Arabidopsis thaliana: one gene and its partner. The protein of the gene in region 2 interacts with the protein of the main gene of each other region in a pairwise test. Each region holds a gene or a part of one and is shown on either strand. Other genes may lie near its edges.

Evidence for each region. The genes of interacting proteins can lie anywhere in the genome.
Region 1: the proteins of GATA19 (region 2) and ARR6 interact in a two-hybrid assay, tested with the Arabidopsis thaliana proteins (one large-scale study listed by BioGRID).

What each region holds. Positions count from the first base shown.
Region 1 is NC_003076.8:25,252,401-25,256,157, reverse strand, and holds the start of ARR6 (response regulator 6), read left to right. Parts: upstream 1-1,839; 5' UTR 1,840-1,999; coding exon 2,000-2,150; intron 2,151-2,233; coding exon 2,234-2,310; intron 2,311-2,389; coding exon 2,390-2,467; intron 2,468-2,555; coding exon 2,556-2,626; intron 2,627-3,229; coding exon 3,230-3,413; 3' UTR 3,414-3,757. Other genes in the region: AT5G62930 (SGNH hydrolase-type esterase superfamily protein), read right to left, coding at 86-250, 350-426, 518-658, 1,070-1,324. UniProt on the Arabidopsis thaliana protein: Functions as a response regulator involved in His-to-Asp phosphorelay signal transduction system. Phosphorylation of the Asp residue in the receiver domain activates the ability of the protein to promote the transcription of target genes.
Region 2 is NC_003075.7:17,268,350-17,272,106, forward strand, and holds GATA19 (GATA transcription factor 19), read right to left. Parts: upstream 1,651-3,757; 5' UTR 1,314-1,650; coding exon 1,026-1,313; intron 905-1,025; coding exon 557-904; 3' UTR 340-556; downstream 1-339. Other genes in the region: EMB2754 (Vacuolar sorting protein 39), read right to left, coding at 3,739-3,757. UniProt on the Arabidopsis thaliana protein: Transcriptional regulator that specifically binds 5'-GATA-3' or 5'-GAT-3' motifs within gene promoters.

The DNA.
Region 1 (3,757 bases), on a different chromosome or scaffold from region 2:
CATTTATAAACAACAAACATGATTGAGGAGGAGATGAGTGTTTGTGAAAAACCAACAACATTTCAGATCAGACTTAGATACAGACCTTAGGTACTTTTTCTGCCAATCATTGGTTTCCTGCATCTTAGACCATAAGTTGACACATCGCAGACCGAGTTCCTCGGCCAATGCAACACAATGTTGTGCATATACCCCTGTTGTTTCGTTTGTTCTCTCAGGCTCTTTCATAGCTTTCTCACCGTAGATTGATCTGATGTAACACAATCACTGGCTCATTTAAGAAACATGTCGGACTAAATGCTTTGAGAAACAAAAATGCAAAGAAGAAAAGGATCATAATAAAGCCTACTCTGCATAACTTTGACGTCCAGCTTCATCAATTGGTGGTGGAGTTATAAGCACAATTAGCATTGTAGGTGAACATTTCTACAAAACAGAGTCATTAGTCTTTAAAGGAATCACACTTCAAGAAAAGTAAGTCCATGCATTAGAGTGGATCAAAGAAGCATATCAAAACCTTCAAATGCTGAACAATCTTTCTGACATTATCTGTGTACTCTTCCACCGGCACATGTTGTCTATCACTGGTTCTTCCTTTGAGAGCTGCATCGTTTGCACCGAAGAATATCGTCGTAGCAACAGGAGGAGACGAAGAGCCCTAGGCAAAAAGACAGAGTAGAACACATACTGAGATAGGCACACCAAAACAACACGCACTACAAGAAGAGTTCTCATGATATATGCAGATGTAATTGCCTTTTACCATCTCAAAATTCAAATCTAAATCTTTCGTACTTCAACCAATCCATGACAATGTCATAAAACCAACACATCCTAGAATCATATCAAAACCATTCAGAACTGAACCATAACAAGCATAAGCAAAACAAAAAATGATGCACAAGAGACAATAACTCAAGATCTATATCCACACAGATCATACACACAATCACAACAGCTCATGAACAAAATCATCCCAATGACTACCAAAATTCGTTCGTGTTTAGATCAAATTTCAAATCAACATTTGTAGACTCGAGGGAGGGAGAGAGAGATAAAAAGTACTGACGAGAGGGAAGATGTGATGAAGCAAGAAGAGAGCCCATCGGGTGTTGTAGCCGCCGTAGCCTCGAACCACAACATCAGCCTTGCGAGAGTAAGCGTCGGCAAGAGCAGATCCCCAACCGCCGGACCTAAAAGACTGCGCCGTGATCGAGTCGCCGAACAGAACTATCTCCGGCCTCATCTCGCTGTCTCCCTCCGGTTCACTGAGTAAACCGTTAACTGTATTAGGAAACTTAAAGTCTCTTCTGGGCCAAATCATATGGGCCGGGCCTTTAGTATTAATTTGTTATATTTTTGGTGAATGAAAAGGTGGTAATCTAAAGAGGTTTTACTAATTGTAGATTAAGGATGCGTGTAATGTTTTAGTATTAGTTTATGATTTCTTGATTTCACATTTTTCTGTCTTGAGCTTAAGTCAAAACCTCAAAGTGAACTTCTACGTAGATGAAGTATTGAAGTGTAGAAGTTAAATGCGTGAACTTCCACAATTCAACTACAAACACACTTTTACCAAAAAAAACTACAAACACACACAAATAATTTAAAAATAAAAAAAGAATTCTACAAGTTATTGAATATCGGTTTGGGTCGGTTAAATCTTGCATCCCATTCCAAATTTTCTGGTTTGTTCTTCGTTTTGACTAAACTTGAACCGATTGGTTTGACTTTATTTCGGTTTTTTGTTTTAACTTATTTAATAATAAAAATCCACCGAACTATTATTTATATAAAATATAAAATAAAGATTTTGAAAGCAAATTGACAAAATCTTAAAGATATGCAAAATCTCTCGATTTCATTCATATTTTTTCCCTCTTTTATTTCTTTCTTTCTTTCTTTCTACTTATATAAATGGCCCAACCACTGCCACCATGGTTTCACATCATATCTTTCTCTTCCTTTTTCTTCCAAATCCTCCAACATTCGTTGATCAATGGCTGAAGTTATGCTACCGAGGAAGATGGAGATTCTCAACCATTCTTCAAAGTTTGGATCACCGGATCCTCTTCATGTTCTTGCCGTCGACGACAGTCACGTTGATCGTAAATTCATCGAGCGTTTGCTCAGAGTATCTTCTTGCAAAGGTAATTATTACTCATATTTTGAAAAATCAGTCTCTGAATTCGGGCAAGTTATCTGAGTAAAAAGCTCTGTTTTGGTTGTTCAGTTACTGTTGTTGATAGTGCAACAAGAGCTCTCCAATACCTTGGTTTGGATGTTGAGGAAAAATCAGTCGGTTTTGAGGTATAAAACAATTTCCAAGAGAAAACAAAATTTTGCCGTAGCTCTCAAGCAATATGTTAAATCGTGATTTGTGCTTCAGGATTTGAAGGTTAATTTAATTATGACTGATTACTCAATGCCCGGTATGACTGGATATGAACTCTTGAAGAAGATCAAAGTAAGCAAACAAACATATAATGATATAATTAGTCAATGGAATTTGAGTTTTATGTTTATCTAATCCTTTTTTACGTGATTTTCCACAGGAATCCTCAGCTTTTAGAGAAGTACCGGTGGTAATTATGTCCTCCGAGAACATTTTGCCTCGTATTGATAGGTATAAAACTTCATCATAATCTTAAGTCAAACTATAGTAAATTTGGTGAATATCTTTGTCTTAGATGATCAAAAAAAGAATTAGATAAAACAAAAAGGGATTAGATCACAAAGTAAAGTTCCTGCTCATATGGTTAAAAGTTAATTTCCTTAAACCATTTTTGGTGGTGGATATTGCATAATTAAACAAATGTTGAGATTTGGTGATCTTTAATGGGTCCCAAGATGATTTTGTGTATAAAGATGTTTCTAACCAGCAAAATCTTTACTTTGGGATTTGATTCTATTTCTGGTGATGTGATATTACAATAAAATAAGTACATGATCTTGCTTGCCTAATATTTGGTAGGGTATTGTGAAAGCCACCTCACATGCTTTTTCACTTTGCATACAATATTAGGAAACCTCTAGACCAAATAAAATAAAAAGGAATATGTATTTGTGTTACACACAATGGCCAACTCAATTACGAACTGGCCATTTTATGATTGTTTGCTACATATACAACAAAAAAAAAACTTATTGATCCAAAGCTATCATCAACTTTATTGAAATTGGAGTTTACTCAAACTGATTTTCTTGTGATTATTATTTTGTCATTCAGATGTCTTGAAGAAGGGGCTGAAGATTTCTTACTGAAGCCGGTAAAACTCTCGGATGTAAAAAGATTAAGAGATTCTCTAATGAAGGTTGAAGATTTGTCTTTCACAAAGAGTATTCAGAAGAGAGAGCTAGAAACAGAGAATGTCTACCCTGTTCACTCGCAGCTCAAACGCGCAAAGATCTGAGCTCTCCGATGCAAATTCCGTGACTGGATCTTAGAAAAAGCCTTTTCATATACAGAAGCTTCAAGACTCAATGCACTTGAGCCTACACTGATGATTCTCGCCAGCTTAATGACCTATACAATTTTCCAACCCCTATGGCCTTTTTCGCTGATTGAATTCAGTGGGTTTATTCATATAGTAGTAATGTAAATGGTATAGAGATGAGCAAAAGCTATATTATATATTATATTCATTAGAGGGGTCATAGCTTTTTTCCTTACAAGAGATTTGTAAGCTGGCTTAATAGAAGTTGTTAAGAAGCCTCACTTTATGTGAATAAATGATTTTGTTAGCTAATCATAAAC
Region 2 (3,757 bases):
AGACAATTTGGGCAAAACACGACAAACATTCAGCTTGGCCACCCTGCAGATATTTGTTGGCTTAATTTTCAAATTCGGTCCAAGTATTTGATTATTTCAATTTGGAAAAGAAACTCACAAATTAAACGTTTAAGATATAAGTATTTGTGAAGATAGTATCTGCATCCCAAAATATTCACATTCTCCGTACAAAAACCCAAAGATGCTTTAAAAAGAAATTAAAGGAATGAATATGTATTCTGTATATGTATAGTATATCACTGAATCGTGGTCAAAGTAGGACACACATCATGTAAAGGTTATAAAGTCACGAATTATTAGTTCATTACCCGAGAGAACATTTTAAAAGTCATGCAAGGAAAACACAAGTAGCATCCATCATACGAATTATAAATTTAAGAAAAACACTTACACAGAGACCAAAAAAAGACATTAAATATTTATATTTAAAGGAAAGTAAAATAAAGAATTTAACGAAGGCTAAGACTTTTCTTTTTTGTTAAAAGGTATCCAAGGCTAAGACTTATAAGGGGAATATCTATGAAATGATCACTCATCACATCGTAAAATCGTGGACAAGGCCGGTCCGGTCGGCGACGTTAAGCCTCCAAGACAAGAACGGGTCGGTTGTGACGTCATGATCAACAACTCTGACATCATCAACGTATGAGTATTCGTTATTGGCCGGCGAGTAATATGGAACTCTCTGCGTATTATGCTGATGGTGCCAAGGCGACGATGAAGCATATTGGTTATTATTGTTATAATAATAATTTGCACTTGCTTGATGATCCAAAGTTGGAACTCCAGCTGCAGTTGATCCTCCGCCGGAGGTCGAGTTTCTGGCGGTCGATGCACGTCTCTCTTCTTTCTTGAATCGGATTCCACACGCATTACACAACGACTGACCAAATTAAAAATCATATAAAGTTATTATCAATATTTGTTTTGTTGTACAGAGAGAAATATTAGTCCCACATCAAGAAATGATAAAATATTTGATGTAAAGGTTACATATTAAATACCTTGGGACCTCTTGGACCGTTTCTCCAAAGAGGAGTAGAAGTGGTGTCGCAGTTGGCGCAACGGCGAGCGAGGAGGTTATGTCCGCCGCCTCCACCGCCTTTCTTGGAACCGTTCAAGAAGTCCCAGCCTATGGTGTCGGAGGTATGAGACGAGAATCTACGTTCATCATCCTCGTTGCAGAGGCGAGTGGAGGGAGTTCCAAGTGAGAGAGTGCAGTCAACAGAAGCATATGGAGAGGAATGATGGCTGACGTCGTTTTCGGGGGAGAAGAACATTGAGAAACCCATCACTATATATGAACTTGGAAACCCTAGAAAGTTGATATTAAAATATATAGAGAGAAGGAGAAAGAGAAGTGTGTGTTGTGTGTGGTGTTTATGAGATGAATAAGTTCTCTAAGGAAACGGTGAAAGAAGAGTCAGCCAAAACAAAGAAAGAGTCCACGTTGCTGTTGTGAAATGGAGACAAGAAGTATTTATAGAGAATTTGGGAACTTGGCAAAAGAGGAAAATTTGGTCCCGGTCTTATTATGTGTGTATGATTAATCTATGCTTTATTCTTTTGTTCTTTAGATTTACATGTGAATTTGCTCCTTTAGTTTGTCTACAAAGATGTTGCAATGAATATTCTAAATATGTGTTGGTTTTTGTTCAGTTCTAAGCGATTTTTAATAACAAAACGTTTTAACCTAACAAAATTAATTAATGATACTGCTCCGAATCTAGATTATTATGCAAATTCATTGCATACCGTATAATATTCCACGACCAAGTACCAAGTGAGTAGTCTTGTTTAACAATGCTAAGCAAACTACAGTGTTTTGATATATTATTTAAATGGTAAAGTAAGAAAATAAATGATAAGTACATCTGCAGTTAAAGCAGCAGAGAGGAAGGTAGTCAAAAAAGAGGCACGTGACTGGCAATGTCACGGTCTTCCAAGGATCTGGTCTCTCTCTGATCACGATCATCTCGAAATTAAACGCTCCTTCTCTTTCCGAATCTCTTCTTCCACACGTCATCGCTCGCTTCACCAATTCGACGTGTCATACTCTCATATATGCATGAATCCATTTTATGTTCTAAATTCAAATAGTGTGCGACACTGTTAATGTTCACCGCACTACAATTTCAGTGGCTCTCTAACGACAGTCGTAATAATACAAATAAAATGTTGTATATGACGTATAATTATGTTGTTTTTAACCTTAATCAAAAAATTTGTTTTGTATGTGATTGAATATTGTTGTTACGATTGTGGTCAAGCATGAGAGATCGTAATCGCCAAGATCGGTGCTTTTAAGGAGTTAAAAGAACAAAACTAGCCAATGTTCAAGTTATAAGTGAACTAAAAAGGAATAAAGACAAAGTGAGATACTTTGCAATGATTTTAAAGCAATTACATTGTGTTCTTTCTTTAGCTTGGTGAGAGTTATTCTATGTTTCTATTGATTTAGTCAAAGAAGCAAACTCCAACCAAAATTTAAAATTTAAAAGAAAAAGGGTACAAAGAGAATGAACCCATCAAATGAGTACACTCTGTAGCTCTAAGCTCTTATTTCTTTATCCTTTATCTTCTTTCTCTTTTTATCTAATTTTGGATCAAATAACGAAGTTACGTTATCTCCAAGAACAGATCTATGTTTTTTTTGCTTTCAAAGTAAGGTTTTGTATCAAATAATTTTAAATTTGATCGGCCGACCCATTTTTGGATCAATTATCGTAATGGGGTACGTCAAAATGTGTAACGTTTTTATACTAATTTTATAAGCTCTCAACTAAAAAAAAAAATATTAAGAATAAATAAATTGTACGTTTTATGTTTATATATACTATTATTTGAGTTTCATTATCTTATTTACCAACATTCATTTCATTTTATTACAAACATGAAATATCAACTGTGTTTTCTATAAACCTCACTCGTTCAACAAAAGGAAAACAATCAAATTGATGAGTTTTAAGAATATCAATTCAATAATCTTGTTGGAGGATGTCGTGTGCCGCCAAACACGAGTGGACAAAATGCGTGAAACGGGAAAGAGTAAAAAAGATTAAAAGAACACCAAGAGACCCAGAGAGAGAGGGAACAAAGAGAATCGGATCGGTCTTGAGATTGGTTAATTTTTGGTTCAATTGAGATACGGCGACCACCGCTTTCCCAAAAGATGCCTCTCTGTCTCTTATGCTCTTTGCTTCGTAGAACACGAAACCTAACCCTAACGATTACCCCAAGACGCAAAGTGTTCGACTTCGTAATTTCACATTACATGTCATGTCTCTTCACTCACGTGACTTCTAATCTTATTATAATCTAACTGAGCTGTTGAAGCCTGATAACGCCTAATCCAGCCCACGTTTCTTGGCCCATCATATCACCTTCATTTGGTTGAATGTTGTTAGATTTCGCACTAACATTCGTTATTTTCTTCGACAAGTCCCAATTACACAAAAATGAAAAGTCTTTATATAAACTAACAGATTTTACAACAAGAGCCAAACTGGTTTTGTCAAGAGTCAAGACCATCATTTTGAACCAAACACAAAAAACCACAGAAGAAAACACCAAAAAAGTAGCTCCAAATCTCTCTCTATAAACAGACAAACAACACGAAAGGAGCTTTTTCTTTAATTGCACTTTGGGAGTTTTGTAAAAAAGAAAAGATGGTTTAGTGTCTTAAACCTCTCTTTGTTACAGTAATTGATGATTACCTCATCGTCTTCTTCCATGT